Linked DNA regions of Schizosaccharomyces pombe. The protein of the gene in region 2 interacts with the protein of the main gene of each other region in a pairwise test. Each region holds a gene or a part of one and is shown on either strand. Other genes may lie near its edges. The genes, in order: dys1 and trm734.

Region 1 (4,985 bases), 820 kb from region 2:
TGTGCGGTTTGGATGAGCTGAACACCATTACCGAGAAGTTGGCGAAGATGTATTTAAGAAAGTTATGAAGACCCGGTCTCGGAATAGGATTACGAGAGGCTTCGTATACGGATTTTTCTGATCTGACTGCAAGCGCGCGACATAGCAAAGTTCCATTCAAGTCTAAAATAACTAATTTCCTATTGTCTGTCGCACCATTGCAAGAAGAGGCCTGCGAAAGATATGTGAGAGAGGGTTCTGGTGCCATTAAGTTTAAAGTTCGTTTTTTGTAAAATTGTATTCTGTGGAAAATTGAGGGACTGATGCGCATCAACCCGATCACTTTTTCGACGGGTAAATTAAACTTGTTTGGAAAATGGTGCTTTGGTATATCAAAGCCAAAAACTGATAAAAATTAACAATATAAAGCTTTGTAGACAACGAATATTAAACGAGTACTTGAAGCCAGCACAATACAAAGCACTAAAATTCTACGTTACAAGGAACTCGACAAATAATCGCAGGAAATGACTAAAACCGTAAAAGAATTAGTTTGTTTCTTCGCTTCGAAGATTAAACTTACAATCCTTCTATAATTAGCGCGTTTCGTAGTGATCCCGACACATCTACCTCTTATATGTTTTGATAGGTGTTCAGAAAGTAAACTGGAGTTCTGAGAAGTTTATATTTGCGAACTGGCGGGTCATATCAAATACGCGGAAATACGGGAATAATTATTATAACTAATGCCTAGCCACAGTGGATCATAATCTGAATGTTTCACAATTGACACCTCATCCGTGTGGCTGTACAATGAATTTTGGAACTGCTAGCTGTAAGGTGATTGTGAGATAAACCATAAGACAAGGAAATATAAAACTAGTAGTTTTTAAACGGTTGCTAATTAGGAATATTAATACGGACACTTCATGATTACAAACAACCAAAATGACATTAGGCAGTTAACTAAACAATATGACAAGTTAGTATTATTTCTCGTAAAAAAAAATTTATGATTAAACAAACATAATTGATTTTTTGTAAGCAACATTTTAATGTATATTTAATAATTTTTTCTATAAAAACCCAAACATTGGTGAACTTTTTAGGAGATTGAAATGCCTTTGCTTTTGATCAGTATAAAAAACAAACGCCCCATAAGAATCGTGTTCTAGGAAAATAAAGCTAAATTCTATATTATTTTAATTCACTTCGCGAAGGTAGCGGCCACAATTAAAGGAAATAAGAGACTCACCTCCCCGTAAACCTACAGACATCAAAAGTTAGAATTTGCTATATACAAGTATAGCGTCACATACCTTTACTTTCTTAGCATCGCCACGAATTTTTCCCCAACTGACAGCTTCATCGGGTCGAGCACCAGCATCACTACCATCAAATTCGTTGGCAGAATTGATGTAGACGCTCCATTCTGCCCCATTGCGCATTAAGTTTGCATTGCAAATATGATGCTTGACAACACCACCCCCAAGAATGATGATTCCAGACTTGTTGGCACGAACAGCATGAGTATTCATGTTTCGGATATCTGCGACAATATCCAAAACTAATGGACGAGGAGTCGCTTTGTAAGTATGGAAATAAAGCATATCACCAATCGATCCATCTGTAAGAGCAGGACTATAGATAGGTATATTATTCTTATATGCCCAATACAAAACACTAGACTCATCATTGATTTCTTTACCCAGACGACGGATAAAGGATGAAGGAGTCCAATGAGTACCAAGAGTCTCTTGTTCCTCGACCATTTTATTAAGGATGGGAAATATCCATTCCTCAAAACGGCAATAATTATCGTTTGGAACAATCAAGTTACCGATACGGTTCAAACCTTTGGCACGAAGATTTTTCCCATCTAAATGAAAGTCGCCAACATAAGTAGGGCCAAGACACTTAATTATGTCTTCTTCAACACCTCCAGCTGTTGTAACAATAACATCTACACATTTGTGCTGGACCAGATAGCGCAAAACTTCACGGACGCCAGAAGATATCAAGTTACTGGTGTAACCAAGGAAAATGGTAGCACGATCACTTTTCTCTTCGGGGGGATTGGGATCGCGCCAATTTCTCTGTAACAATTAGTATTGCTCAATCGATATGTGCCTAGCAGGCATAAAGTAAGTCATATTTTTTCACAATTTTAACAGAATAGCGTATGAAAGCTAAAAGAATATCAAGAAAAAAAAACTACATTTTAAACATACCATCTCATTTATGATAGTCACCGCATCATGAAGGTTGGTAGCCTGGAATCCAATTTTTCCATACGACTCGACCAACTCTTCTACTGTTATGCCAGGTCCTCCAGCCTTCTTTCTCTCATCATACTTGTTAAAATCTGGTCCGACGACTTCAGTTGTCAAATCACTAGGCTTTGAAGAGGCTACAAAAACGGCGTCCTTTGCTAGAGATTCATCCATGGTTTACGATAATTATCGGTATGGTAAATTTCTGAATAATTCCAAAAAAAAAAAAAAGCTTTTTAATATATGTAAATGAGTCTATTTAATGAAAGAAAATCAAATATTATAAGACTCAATTCCCTTAGTGTAGAGGAGAAAAATTCTAACAACACGAATGATTTAAGCAACAATTTTGATTTTTATAATTTATCAAAAAACCCGAGAGAAGATGACAATTATTCTAATTACTCTCTCAAAATATGAAAATTTTTAAACAAAAGGCTAAAAAAATGAAGAAAAAAGTTTCCAAAGCAGTTTTCGTTGACTTTTTACGATATACGTTCCGGGTACTGGGTTTCGTAGAAAATCGATCTACATGAATTGCCTGACTTGAATGAAAATTTCCATCACTAAAATAAATTTTGGATTGATGCGATTAAATTACTTGATCGGATGCCGACCAAAAGAGTTGAATACATGATTTCAAATGACTATAAGCGAAAATGCTAGGGGGCTTTACATTACAAGTATAAGGAATTATAACTGGTTTAAATCTAAGTACTTAAAAAAATTTTAAAGCAACTTTCAAAGATTTATTCATCTGTTTAAAAATATTTCAGCAATCTATCGGAAAAACAAGATAGTCAAGTCCAAGAAACCCACAAAAAAATGAGTTAGCTGACACTAGGTATTAAAACATTGCACCAAATCAGCAGGCAACTGGAGTTAAGTAATTTTGATCTTAAAGCAATGAATTTTTCATAAAAGTTTTTGAGAATACCAGATGGTAAATTCAAGAGATATGTGGCGAACAGAGATAAGAGTAGTATAGAAACAATTAAGCTTGATTACAGGTACCGAGTTCACCAAATCAACTCACGATTACAGTTGAGGATAGTAAAATATTAGAAAGAGCATATGAAAATTACACATGGCTCTAATGTCAAAAGCCTACTGCTTGGCAGACGGGAAAAAAATAAAATAGAAAGTAAGTATCATAATGGAAGTACGATTATTCATTAAACAGTCAAATAAAACATTAGAAAATGCAAACGAAAATGAGGTAACTGCTGTTGAAAAGGGAAAAAAAGTAGATCAAAAAATCGTGGATCCATCATTACTGATTGAAATTATAGGAACGATAAAATTCGGAGCGTCAAAGGGAAGATATTTAGAAAACGAAGATGACGGGAAAGGTAACGTGGCCTCCCGTGCAAACAAAGCCAGCTAAAACATTAAAAATAATAATAAGGATAACAGTAATAATAAAACTCCAGCTTAAGAAGAAGAAAAAAAAGTTCTAAGATGGTGTTTTGTAAAAATGTTCAAGTTAAGAATGGATTTTAAACTTTACTTATCAAGGTATCACCATGTTCTTTTTCAAGTTTTATACGGTTGCGTTCATGCTCTTCCTTTCTGAGAGAGAAAAGAGCAACGCAATCATGATCTTCCATAAGACGATGGGCAGCACAAAATCTGCCATTGCAATGCAAGCAATTGCCAGCGAGGCGCAAAGTAATCCTCGTGCAAGTTGGATGGCAACAACGTCTTCTAGAAGTCGCTGGGCGGGTAAGTAATGCTTTGTCAGAACTCTTCTCGGATTCAAGAGGAGGGTTTGTTAAATTGGATTTAGAAATTGAGGGAATGGTAGAGGATTGCTTGAAATTCGACACAGCTTCCGTAGATGCATGATTAGGAGTTAAAGGGGAAAAATGTAAGTGGAAAGCAGATGTAGAGTAGTCTTTGAAATCAATGTCACATGAAGAAGGTAATGGTGCAATATGAACGGCAGAGTCGTGGATAATGCCATAATCAGCGCAAGTCATATTCATGTTTAAACGAGTTCCATGGTAATAAAATGCATGGAGTGATTTTGCATTTTTTGGGAGGATTCCCTGATCAGATAGCAAATCAAAGATATTTCCAAGACTAGAATGCTCGTCTACTTCAATTGAATAAGATTGTGAAGCGATAATTTGCAGCAGGACCATGATTTTACAAAAACAATAGTAAGGGTGTAGAGGATGAAGCAAGAAATATTTAATGAAACAAATAACTTTTCAAAGGAGAAGTAAATCGAAAAATAATCAAAAGAAAAGGAAGAAAAGAAACGTACCGGATACGATAGTGATTAGACAGTAAAGAAAAAAAAATAAAAGCTGTAGCAAAGGAAACACTGATTTAAAAAACAGTAAAAGGCAATTTTCAATTTAATTTAGAAGAAACCGCGTAGATATTTAGCAACGGAAGCGTTTCGGTTGATGAAGTAAGCAAGCAGATTTCAAGAAACAATCAAACACTTCCTTTCTTAGGCAAGGAATTTTGGTGAAAAGAAGGTTATAGAAATTCGAAAGAAAGGTAATTCTATTAGAATTTTAAACAAAAATGTGATTCACTTGTTGATTAACAGTGAAATCGATGATTACAAATCAAAGTACAGTAGGAAAGTAGAAGGCAAAAGTAAACAACTTGAGAAACACTCAAAATTCACAATTTTAAATATTTATGGAAACTCTTGGCAGGCGATCAATTTTTGAAGACAATTGATTCTTTTGTGAACGTTTTGGTGGTTGGCTT
Region 2 (5,798 bases):
CGATTTCTTCCATATCATTGGAATGCATACGAACGAGGCGTGAAACTTTTATTTTTTTTGTAGAATTGACATTGTAAATGTAATTACCCCGCTTGAGTGTACCTTGATAAATTCGCAAATAGGTGAGCTGGCCAAACCTTCCCTCCTCGAGTTTGAAAGCAAGAGCGACAAGCGGCTTCTCACTGCTAGGAACAAGGGATACTGGCTTTTCTGAGTCTGCTGCATTCAAAGCTATATTTTCGACCTCAGAAGGGTTGGGTAGGTAGTCGCAAACAGCATCCAAAACAGATTGAACTCCAACATTGGACAAGGCAGAACCCATTAATACAGGTGTAAACTTCCTTGCAAGTGTAGTTCTACGAATAGCTCCCATAAGCTGCTCAGGTGTAGGGTCTTCTTCCATTACGTATATATCAGCAATTTCTTCGTCTAAATCGGCAAGCTTTTCAATTAAAGCTGAGCGCTTTTCTTTTGCTAGTTCAATAAGATTCTCAGGAACCTGCTGAGAAATTTCGATTTTCTCACCCTTCGACCCACGATTATAAATTGCACGCATTTGTATAAGATCAACCACACCTTCAAGTTTGTCTTCTTGACCTATAGGAATTTGAACAGCTGCAGCGGGAATTTTCAATTTTGTGTTTATTTGCTGAATGACCTTCCACGGATCTGCACCCATACGATCCATTTTGTTAACAAAAGAGATCCTGGGGACATTGTAGCGGCGCATTTGTCGATCAACTGTGATAGTTTGCGATTGAACACCGGAGACAGCACAGAGTACCAACACTGCACCATCTAGCACACGTAAGGCACGCTCCACCTCAATGGTAAAATCAATGTGACCAGGTGTATCAATAATATTAATGTTATAACTTTTCTCAAAGTCAGTTTTTTGTTTTTCGTTAGCTTCAATCTGATCCACAGTACGTTCCCAAGTGCAATGGGTAGCAGCCGATTGAATGGTAATTCCTTTTTCCCGTTCAAGTTCCATGAAATCCATTTTTGCTCCGACATTATCCTTTCCTCTGACTTCATGAATGTCTTTTATCCTTCCTGTATAGTACAAAACTCTTTCAGTAAAGGTAGTCTTGCCGGAATCAATATGGGCAGATATTCCAATATTTCGAATTTGTTTAAGTCGCTTTTTATCGTTATCATTCAACTGTTCTTGGATATTCAAATTATTTTCTGATGTATTAGAAGCTTCAATGCCCGTATTTGCTACTGACGCGTAACCACGGACGACTAAAGTAGAAAGTCTGGGGAGGCGGCTTGTCAGCGACCTAAATGATAATTTTAGCATTTTATATTATTTCAATAGAATATAAAAACAGCCATGAATAACATAAACAATAAATTCCTAGCTTTGGGAACACGCTGAGGTGGTGAGAGTCGTCGAGCAAGGTGGGAGGAGCAAAGTCGCTTTGTTTACGTGTCGCGAGTTACCGCGGTAACATATTAAATTTATTTAAACGTAAATCAAATACTTACTTAACGCATTTTTAATGAATAACAAAATATACATTTTATATGGAGAATATATATGTATTTGCAATTGAATGTTGCTGATTATTTAAAAGTAGCTTGCTTATCGTCAAGAAAAAAGCGACTTCGTTCTGTATTCGGTATCTCCATGTTTAAATGATTCATGAGGCGGTCCAAGCATAGTACTTATAAAAGAAATACAACTATTTTGTCATGAAGTATTTTGGGCATTGTATCAGAAAGCGCGCTTTTCTAGTATCCACAATCGGTTTGAACCTCACCACCATCGCAATCTATTTCTACTACTAGGGTTTTTTGCTCTTTGCAGTTTTTTAAGCTGAGCTTATTCAATCCTTACTGCTTAATCGGTTAATACCATTTTTTTTCTAATTCTTCTCACGGTTTTTATGACGGCGTATTATATTTAGCTTGAAGAATCTGGACTTAAAAATCTAAGAAGGGTTTAAGAATGCTTGTTGAGGGTGATAAAGGTGTTTTAGAGCCAGTTAACTTTGTGGGTCCTGTTACTAGCTTGGCCCTTATTCACAATGATAAGTTTTTATGCTGTGCTCAAGGACCTTGTTTAAGAATTTACGATGTTTCTGAAAGTCGACACGAAAGTGATTTAATTAAATCAATTTTACTTCCATTTCATAATAGAATACATGGAATGCTTCCTTGTAAACAAGGATTATTTGTTTGGGGAGGAACCTATTTTGCAGTTGTTGATGTTGAAACGAGCCAAGTTTACTATGACCGTATATCTGACTGGATATTTAATGCAGCGGAGCTTGGTGAAGAAAATAAATTTTGCGTCGTTACATCGAAAAATCAAGTTCATCTTCTTTCGTTAAGTAAAGGTTCGTGGGAAGTTACAAATACAATATCTTGCGAGAAAACGCCTCTTTTGTTTTGCGCAACGGTACAAATAAGTGGAAATGAAATTTACATAGCTTCTGCTTCCGCTTTTCAGCAAATTTACGTGTGGAAATTCAATTATAACAATCCACCTTCTTGTGTTTCCATTGACACCTACCTTGTTGGACACGAAGGTGCTTGCTTTGATCTCAAGTTTTCATCGGATGGACGTTACCTTTGCTCAGTTTCTGAAGATCGTACCCTAAGGCTTTGGTCGATCGAGTCGTCACCCTTTTTAATAGCGACAGGCTTTGGTCACTCAGCTCGTGTTTGGCGTTGCGTGTTTCTACCCAACAAAGAAATAGCCACAGTTTCTGAAGATTTGACCTTACGTCTCTGGACTTGGAATGATAAAACGCTCACTAATACTTACACATATACTGGTCATCGCGGGAAACACATATGGTCACTAGTTGTCTCCTCTGCGAACCCAATAATATATACCGGTGGAAATGATGGATCAGTTAGGTCTTGGGATTACAAAACTCGTATTCAGGAATCCTGCATCTCAGTATCCTCATTGTTCACCTCAAAGACTTTGCTTGCTTCTTTTTGTTTTGTTAAATGTCAAAAATTATTATGCCTTGCCAAAAATGGGTAAGCGATTTGCATGCTATCAAATATTCATCTGTCTAACCCAATTAATTTAGAGAAATGTCAATTATAGATAATAAAGGAAAAAAAGCTATTCCTGCTTTGACTACCACATCGGACATGTCTATAATTCGTTCTTGGAAAAACTCTTTTTTTGTTGCTGCTGCCTCCAACAAAGGTACTATATATGTGTTTTCATATCAAAATACGAATTTATTAAAAGCTATTGATTTGCATAGGGGAAAGATTCAGCAACTGCTTACTTATCAAGTTAAAGAAAGATATTTTCTACTATCAAAATCATTTGTAGGAAAAAACCAATTTCGAGTTTACTTACAGGAATTTGATTTTGAAGCCGATAAGGTCAACCTAATTTCAACAATAGAACTGGAGTTGCCGGCAACATTTGATCCGACTTCTCTTACAGTTGATGAAGAATATTCAAATTTTTTAATTGGTTCTCGAACAGGATCGCTGGCTTTGTACAATATTGGTGAAAGCAACTACCTTTCTGTATGGAGGAGAATTCATGAATTTGATGCAATTTCATCCATTCACATCAAGTCGTCAAAACGTGATTACCTCTTAATTCAAACAGTCGGACGTGATGGTTATGTCAATTTATTTTCAATTCCGAGGGTAGAAAAAAGTGCTGTTCCTCAGGAGCTGTGTTCGAAAAAATGTTGTGATGGTATACTAAGCGGGGTGAGTATTATCTTTAAGAATATACGGTTCATGGTTCAGCTAACATATGCTAGGGTTTGTGTAAAAAATTAAAAAATGGAAAGGAAAATCAATGGGTTTGGGGTTTTCATGCATCAAATTTTTTTTTAAGGGATGAGACAAATGAAACTAATGTTTTCTTTATTGATTGTGGAGGTAGTCATCGTCCATGGGCTTTTTCAATGGAGATGGACATTCAAAGTTTTGCATCTTATAGAGCAAATCAACTTTATATTTATAGCACTGCTTTAAATCTTTTGCAAAGAAATTCTGTATTACAAAATGGTTTGCATGGGCGTGAGATTCGAGCAATGGATTTCAATCCTTCAGGGGATCTTTTATTATCAGGATCTGAAGATACTAAAGTAACCCTGCTTGAGTTTCAGAGTAATGGAAACATAATTCCTCTGAATTCTGTCAAGTTTCATAATTCAGGAATCCAATCGCTGACCTGGTTTAGCGATGATATTTTATTTTCCACTGGTGGTCTTGAAGAGTTAAATGTTTATAGGCTAATACAAAAGCCAGAGGCATATCTGAAACGGATCGTTCATGAAAAACTCTGCAAACCAAATAAAAGTAACAAGACTTACGATGGGGATCTTCGAATAACTGACATTTCTGTTGTAAAGGCAACCCATCTGGGTGAAAGAGTGTTATGGATTAATACTGTACAGTCCGATTCGACTATCAAAGCATTCACTTATAACGTAGATACGAAGCAGCTAAATTGTATAAAAAGTTGGAAATATAAGACAGTTTGTTTGGTTTTTGCCGAGGCTGTTATTTTCGGGTCTCATTTATTGTTGGTGGTTGCTTCGACTGATGGTAATGTTGCTATTTGGAACACATTTTGGAGGGATCCTCAAATTGAGCCATTAATAATTTGGATAAAAACAGTGCATCAATTTTGTGTTAAGTCATTAAATATTAGCAGGGATCAAGATGTGTTAACGATTTCTACGGGTGGTGATGATGGTGCAATTTCTCGATCTATACTTTTGTTAGAACAAATAAGTGAAAATTCAGTAGTAGTCAATTCTTTACATAACTACTTTTTTGCTGAAGCTCATGCTTCCAGTGTTACAGGTGTTTTATCAATTACCAAAGAGCTTTTGCTGAGTGTATCCATTGACCAAAGGATATTACTATGGAAAGTCGAGGGTGATTCATTGAAACCGATCCTGGAAAGATATACTCACGTAGCTGATGTGGGTGGCATGATCCGAAATAATGATTTTTTGATAATTTACGGAATTGGTTGCGAAGTTTTTAGACTGGGTTCTTTACGATGATTATTTGCTCAATAATGTCTACTACTCGCCTATTCATTCAGTTTACTCTTATACACTTCAAGGGACCTATCTTTTCATTTATCATGACGATGGTTTAAAAATAATAAATAATTGATTTGATTGAAAGGCGGCACAGCATTTATCGGTATTAAGTATGTGTAGTACTCATAATTTCTTTGTCCTCGAAGACAAAGAAACATAACAGTTACGTGTCAAAAATTTCTTTGTTTCAAAGTATTATAATAGACTTACATTCCATAATAGTTCTTCTATCCCTAAACTAATTTTGCTAAAGTAAACAATTTAAAATTACGGTTTAAGAATGGAAAGAGGAACTAGTAAATTCAGCTGGATTGGACTTGTTGCAAGAATATACAACTATATTCCTCATCCTAGTATTTTTTCGAATGCTATTTTAGGAATTGCATGGCTTTTTTTAATATTTTTATGTTGCAGCTGCTTAACGAAATCATCTATTTTTGCGAGATTACTAAGAGTAAAGAATGAAACAACCACCGTAGACGTCGGTTTCTTTGGAGTGTGTGATCAAGCTATTAATTCAACGTCTCGAGTTTGCCATGAGCTTCGAAATTGGGATCAAACAACTGGTGGTTTAGCATATGAAACTTCGAGATTTGCGTGGCTTCAAGTTCATCCTGTTCTCCTCGCGATTGTTGTTGTATTTTCAACACTATCCATTGTTTTGACTATTTTAAAGTACTTGGCTCCTGCATACATACGCCAATGGTCAATAAGTTGTTTAACTACTAGTACAGCCGC

The links.
Region 1: the proteins of trm734 (region 2) and dys1 interact in a two-hybrid assay, tested with the Schizosaccharomyces pombe proteins (one large-scale study listed by BioGRID).

The regions. Positions count from the first base shown.
Region 1 is NC_003423.3:362,856-367,840, reverse strand, and holds dys1 (eIF-5A-deoxyhypusine synthase), read right to left. Parts: upstream 2,758-4,985; 5' UTR 2,427-2,757; coding exon 2,211-2,426; exon of another isoform or gene 2,076-2,210; coding exon 1,299-2,075; exon of another isoform or gene 1,247-1,298; coding exon 1,187-1,246; 3' UTR 583-1,186; downstream 1-582. Other genes in the region: SPOM_SPBC1271.03C (NLI-interacting factor-like phosphatase family protein), read right to left, coding at 1-247; SPOM_SPBC1271.05C (zf-AN1 type zinc finger protein, involved in ER membrane translocation), read right to left, coding at 3,752-4,399.
Region 2 is NC_003423.3:1,179,087-1,184,884, forward strand, and holds trm734 (protein Trm734), read left to right. Parts: upstream 1-1,760; 5' UTR 1,761-1,957; coding exon 1,958-3,003; intron 3,004-3,056; coding exon 3,057-3,705; exon of another isoform or gene 3,706-3,758; coding exon 3,759-5,018; 3' UTR 5,019-5,164; downstream 5,165-5,798. Other genes in the region: mef1 (mitochondrial translation elongation factor G), read right to left, coding at 1-1,306; claudin-like protein Dni2, read left to right, coding at 5,341-5,798.